2 linked regions of the Callithrix jacchus genome follow. The protein of the gene in region 1 interacts with the protein of each later gene in a pairwise test. Links are inferred from orthologs where the notes say so. Each region holds a gene or a part of one and is shown on either strand. Other genes may lie near its edges. The genes, in order: SIAH1 and PEG10.

Region 1 (2,963 bases):
AGAGACTACACAAGCATCTTTTCTGAAAATGGTTAGAAAAAATAAACTCTTATCCAAAATTATCCAGAATCGGTGGTGGTATAAGGGTGAAGTCCAAATTAATTTTCATTGACTTTCTAGGCTTAGAGTACCCAGAGAACCACACAAAATTATCTCTGAGGATTCAGAAAGCGATTTCGGGATCTTGCCATGTGCGTCAAAGTAACGAGCAACAGTTAACTACATGGTTCTAAAGGTGCAACTGTAGCTAACATTCACTGGACGCTGATATGAACAAAGCACTGTTTCAGGTAATGCACCTGTAGCCCATTTAAACTTTAGAGGTATCTACCATAATTTAACCCCACGTTACACATTAGGAAACGGGCTGAAATGTGGTAGAGCTGAGACTGGCACCCAGGTGCCTGGAAGTCTGGCTGCAGAACCAAGGCTCTTGGCCAATAGGCTATGAAATAGTAAATTTATTCTTTCGTTGTGCTTTCTTAAGGAGGTGAAAAGTGGTCACCATTTTAGTCATTCTCCTGACAAAGTTGTAAGAATCGAAATGGGGGGGGTGTCGAGGGGAAGAGACTGTAATCCAGAGGCCATATACCCAGTTATTTGCTGTGATTTAGAATATAACTCTACCACACTTAAAATGACAACACACAGCTTTCTGCTATATAATTAGAGAAACAGGAAAATAAGTTTGGATTTTATCAAACTTAGCGTTAAAGCAGACACAGTAAGATTTTTTTAATTTGCCAGATATTCTTTTAATGAGAATTATAAAAGACCAAAAACATTTTTTTTTTTTTTGCAAACTGCCTTTTTAAACAAATGATTTGCTTTTAATTACAAATACGGTGCATGACGATGCCTTCTTCGGCAAAACCAATAAATACAAGAACAAATTTTAAACAGATGATTTGTCCAAGATATTTGAAAAAGGAAACAAAAACCCGATTTTCATTATAAGAATCAACTGATTCTCTAACCTTTCAAAGATTAAGCTCAAAGGTGTGACTCATCTGTAGAAGAGAGAAAGAGAAACCATCTTATAGATGCTTTAAATAGCTTTTGATAATTTTCCCAATGTCATCTTTACTTTCTGGAACTCATAGCTTCATAAAATAGCTGATTTTAAAATATTTCTAATGAACTGATCAATGGGGAAAAGAAAGTATGTATTGAATGCATGTTATAAATTTTACCATGAACAATTATGCATATCAAAAGACACTAACTTTAAAATGGTACAAAAAAAAGTGAGGAAAAACCTGAATTACAGAAAAGAAAGTCAAATTTATTTAATGAAAAACTAGAATTAATAAAAATTAGCAAATACACACACACAAAAGCACACAGCAGCACTATGTATTGACTCACAAAGGGGAAAAGCAGTGGCCCATGACCACTCAAGATGGCTTGTCAGTTAAAGGAAAAAAACCCAAACACGCACACACTCACGCACGCACTCACACACGCAGAAACAACCAAAAAACCCATTATTTTTGAACAATACAATCTACAACAAACACAAAACTCAGAATTATTTTACAATGCTTTCTTCTTTCTTAATACAAAAGATGCCCATCTTGGGTGTATATACATACATTTTTTTCAGTGGTTTACTGTTGACTTATTTTTAAATATATTAGTGTTACTACATGCAACTGTTTCCTGTATTTAACAGCCTTTCTTTTTATTTACCTTCATGTGTCTAGCTTTCACCTACCAAAAGAGTTTTAGATTGGCAGGCAGATGGGTGTCTTATTTTCTGTGAAACAGAAGTTTTAAACACTGGCCACAAAATGTTTGATTGCCATTTCAACACATGGAAATAGTTACATTGATGCCTAAATTGCCATTTTCTGCAAAAAGCTGTGCAATGCTGGTGTCAAAGACTAGACAGTCACTATTCATAATGGCTGTTGCAATTCCTTCATGAATAGATCGAGGAGTTGCTTCCCAAGTCAATCGTCGCCTATGACCATTTAGCTCAAGTCGGTAAGCAAAATTTTCAGCTTGCTTGCGTGTTCCTATCAGCTGTACGATTGCGAAGAACTGCTGGTGACCATCGTATTTTTCCTGTTTCTCCAAGACTAACATGAAGTGAAAGCCAAAACAGGACTGCATCATCACCCAGTCAACAGCACCAGGAAGATTAATGTCTGTAGCAAGGAAAACGATATCCTCTCCCTGTAGGGTTGTAATGGACTTATGCTGATGCATCAGATGGGGCATTACAGCATCCAGAGAGCCTTGCCATTTACAGGAAGCACCAGGGCATGGACAGGAATAAGGCCTAAACTCACAGAGCTCTTCATGGTCTGCTTTTTCGGTGTGTGGCAGAGTTATTTCACATCCAGAAGAGGCATATTTACAGGGGAAAAGTACTGAATTAGCCACTTTCTCCATAGCCAAGTTGCGAATGGATCCCAATGGGCCCCGGCAAGTTGGACAACATGTGAGCTTTGGGCGACAGTTGCTACAAACAAGATGGCCACTCTGACATTGAAGAATGGGTGGTAACACATAGTCAAAGCAGACTGGACACTCAAAAAGACTCGCCAAGTCATTGTTGGATGCAGTCGTGCCAGTCAGGGCAGGCACCCTCTGGGATGGTGGACACTTTGAGGTACCGGTAGGTAATGCTGTAGCAGTCTGACGGCTCATTTCTGAAATAAATACATAAGGAAGCAGGAGAAAAATAATTACAACCATGACTTATTTTATAAATAATGTTTATATGCCAGAAGTATTTTTTAAAAGATACTAAAAAAATAAAATTACACTGAATGTGCACTTTGATTACTAGGATCTGTACAGTGGATCAGCTCTATTTTCAAAATGTTCCAGAACACATTTGGAACTCCCTTTAAGAAAAAAAAAAAGTAAATATCATCTTAAATAGAAAATGGACCATAAACTAGAGAAACTATATAACGAACTGAAGTTTAATCGAATCCATTTTGATAGTA
Region 2 (3,829 bases), on another chromosome or scaffold:
TTTTATGAGTTTCTATCAGTTGTCGTATTGACTATTTTTGGCCTAGCTTCTCTAATAACAAAAGTTATTGTTTTGGCTTTAATTTGCATAATTGATTTGGTATCCATGTTTGCCTTGAAGTTTCTTTGCCTTGAAGTTCTGTTTCAATAGGAAACTACTTGTTTAGAGGCCTTAACATTCTCTTATAGTTTATAAAGGTAAGCATGCTGTTGATAATATATTATTGAATCATAATCAACAGGTGGTCTTTGAGAAGGACAAGGTCATTTGAACATCAAAAAGTAGTTTGCTTTTTGTATGGTGCTGATTGATAACTTCCCTTTGAGAGTTTGTTTTTGTTTGTTTGCTAATTATTAAAGTAAGCACATAGAACAAGGGATAATATAAATATCAAATCCTTTGTGTCTACATTTTGCTGCTTTGAAGGTATAAGTTAGATTTATATGTTTATCTTTATTTACAGAAATAAGCGCGTTTTGAAAACAAAAAAAAGAAGGAGTGGAAGAGGGGGCCAGGATCCAGGCCTCCATCCCCACAGAAGTGAAGTTACAGCTGGGAGGTCTCCTCCCACCCCAACCGTCACCCTGGGTCCCGACTGCCCACCTCCTCCTCCTCCCCCTCCCCCCAACAACAACAACAACAACAACTCCAAGCACACTGGCCATAAGAGTGCGTGTGTCCCCAACATGACCGAACGAAGGAGAGATGAGCTCTCTGAAGAGATCAACAACTTAAGAGAGAAGGTCATCAAGCAGTCTGAGGAGAACAACAATCTGCAGAACCAGGTGCAGAAGCTCACAGAGGAGAACACTACCCTTCGAGAGCAGGTAGAACCCACCCCAGAGGATGAGGATGATGACATCGAGCTCCGCGGTGCTGCAGCAGCTGCTGCCCCACCCCCTGCAATAGAGGAAGAGTGCCCAGAAGACCTCCCAGAGAAGTTTGATGGCAACCCAGACATGCTGGCTCCTTTTATGTCCCAGTGCCAGGTCTTCATGGAAAAGAGCACCAGAGATTTCTCAGTTGATCGTGTCCGTGTCTGCTTCGTGACAAGCATGATGACCGGCCGTGCTGCACGTTGGGCCTCAGCAAAGCTGGAGCGCTCTCACTACTTGATGCACAACTACCCGGCTTTCATGATGGAAATGAAACATGTCTTTGAAGACCCTCAGAGGCGAGAGGCTGCCAAACGCAAGATCAGACGACTGCGCCAAGGTATGGGGTCTGTCATCGACTACTCTAATGCTTTCCAGATGATTGCCCAGGACCTGGATTGGAACGAACCTGCACTGATTGACCAGTACCACGAGGGCCTCAGTGACCACATTCAGGAGGAGCTCTCCCACCTCGAGGTCGCCAAGTCGCTGTCTGCTCTGATAGGTCAGTGCATTCACATTGAGAGAAGGCTGGCCAGGGCTGCTGCAGCTCGCAAGCCACGCTCACCACCCCGGGCGCTGGTGTTGCCTCACATTGCAAGCCACCACCAGGTAGATCCAACTGAGCCGGTGGGAGGTGCCCGCATGCGCCTGACCCAGGAAGAAAAAGAAAGACGCAGAAAGCTGAACCTCTGCCTCTACTGTGGAACAGGAGGTCACTATGCTGACAACTGTCCTGCCAAGGCCTCGAAGTCTTCACCGGCGGGAAACTCCCCGGCCCCGCTGTAGAGGGACCTTCAGCGACCGGGCCAGAAATAATAAGGTCCCCACAAGATGATGCCTCATCTCCACACTTGCAAGTGATGCTCCAGATTCATCTTCCGGGCAGACACACCCTGTTTGTCCGAGCCATGATCGATTCTGGTGCTTCTGGCAACTTCATTGATCATGAATACGTTGCTCAAAATGGAATTCCTCTAAGAATCAAGGACTGGCCAATACTTGTGGAAGCAATTGATGGGCGCCCCATAGCATCGGGCCCAGTTGTCCACGAAACTCATGACCTGATAGTTGACCTGGGAGATCACCGTGAGGTGCTGTCATTTGATGTGACTCAGTCTCCATTCTTCCCTGTCGTCCTGGGGGTTCGCTGGCTGAGCACACATGATCCCAACATCACCTGGAGCACTCGATCCATCGTCTTTGATTCTGAATACTGCCGCTACCACTGCCGGATGTATTCTCCAATACCACCATCGCTCCCACCACCGGCACCACAACCACCACTCTATTATCCAGTAGATGGATACAGAGTTTACCAACCAGTGAGGTATTACTATGTCCAGAATGTGTACACTCCAGTAGATGAGCACGTCTACCCAGATCACCGCCTGGTTGACCCTCACATAGAAATGATACCTGGAGCACACAGTATTCCTAGCGGACATGTGTACTCACTGTCTGAATCTGATATGGCAGCTCTTCGAGATTTTGTGGCAAGAAATGTAAAGGATGGGCTAATTACTCCAACAGTTGCACCTAATGGAGCCCAAATTCTCCAGGTGAAGAGGGGGTGGAAACTGCAAGTTTCTTATGATTGCCGAGCTCCAAACAATATTACTATCCAGAATCAGTATCCTCGCCTATCTATTCCAAATTTAGAAGACCAAGCACACCTGGCAACGTACACTGAATTTGTACCTCAAATACCTGGATACCAAACATACCCCACATATGCCGCGTACCCGACTTACCCAGTAGGATTCGCCTGGTACCCAGTGGGACGAGACGGACAAGGAAGATCACTGTATGTACCTGTTATGATCACTTGGAATCCACACTGGTACCGCCAGCCTCCGGTGCCACAGTACCCGCCGCCACAGCCGCCGCCTCCACCACCACCGCCACCGCCGCCTCCATCTTACAGTACCCTGTAAATACTTGTCATGTCCTTCAGGATCTCTGCCCTCAAAATTTATTCCTTTTCAGCTTCTTAATCAGTGACTGTGTGCTAAATTTTAGGCTACTGTATCTTCAAGCCACCTGAGGCACATCCTCTCTGAAACGGCTACAGAAGGTCAGCGCCACCCTGGACTGGCACACATCCTAAAGCACCAAAAGACTTTCAACATTTTCTGAGAGCAGCAGAGTATTTGCCAACGAATTATCTCTCAGTTTTCCACCTTGACTACCAATCTAAAATAATTAATAAGTTTACTTTCCAGGCAGTCCTGGAAGTCTGGGTTTTACTTACTAAAACCTCTATCATCATCTAAATTATAGGCTGCCAATTTTCTTGTTTAACATTTACAGAGAAGCTGATACAAATGCTGATTTCTTCATGGAGGGGGAGACAAGGAGGAGGAGGTGGAGGAGGACATGACTTTTCTTGCAGTTTCAGTACTCTCTTTACATCACTAGAGGACCGAGTCCTTATTAAGGAAGCCAAAACTATTGGTGCAGTGTGGAAAGGCTTCCGTGATCATCCTGCTGCACCCTTAGAAACTTCACCATCTTCAAACTCCATTTCCATGGTTCTGTTAATTCTCAAGGAGCAGCAACTCAACTGGTTCTCCCAGGGGCAGGCAAAACCCTTGCTACATGAAACACCTCAGGCCCTCTCAGATGGACTCTTGTATGTTAAGAGTGTGCCATCACATCGTGGTGCAAATCGCATGTACCCAAGGACTCTGGCTTTGACACACACCTTACCATCATCATGCCATAATGGCTTCCACAAAGCATTAAACCTGATAACCAGAGATTACTGGTGGTTCCAGGGGTGTTAGAGGTTTGTGAAATGTGACCACCTCTCAATCACCTTCGAAGGCTAAAGAGTGGCAGATCAAAAGGACTCCAAAATCCCTTACCCACCTTTTAAGAGACTTGTCCTGGTACTTCAGAAAGAATTTTCATGAGTGTTGTTAGTTGACTGGAAAACCACCAGCTGACGT

What was found.
Region 2: the proteins of SIAH1 (region 1) and PEG10 interact in binary tests that used the Homo sapiens proteins (3 or more experiments, as listed by UniProt). The link is inferred for Callithrix jacchus from reciprocal best matches to the Homo sapiens genes SIAH1 and PEG10.

The regions. Positions count from the first base shown.
Region 1 is NC_133521.1:6,074,530-6,077,492, forward strand, and holds the end of SIAH1 (E3 ubiquitin-protein ligase SIAH1), read right to left. Parts: intron 2,799-2,963; exon of another isoform or gene 2,776-2,798; intron 2,661-2,775; coding exon 1,810-2,660; coding exon of another isoform or gene 1,707-1,809; 3' UTR 731-1,706; downstream 1-730. Other genes in the region: LONP2 (lon protease homolog 2, peroxisomal), read left to right, coding at 1,707-1,826. UniProt on the Homo sapiens protein: E3 ubiquitin-protein ligase that mediates ubiquitination and subsequent proteasomal degradation of target proteins.
Region 2 is NC_133512.1:54,929,066-54,932,894, reverse strand, and holds part of PEG10 (retrotransposon-derived protein PEG10), read left to right. Parts: intron 1-463; coding exon 464-1,664; coding exon of another isoform or gene 1,665-2,812; 3' UTR 2,813-3,829.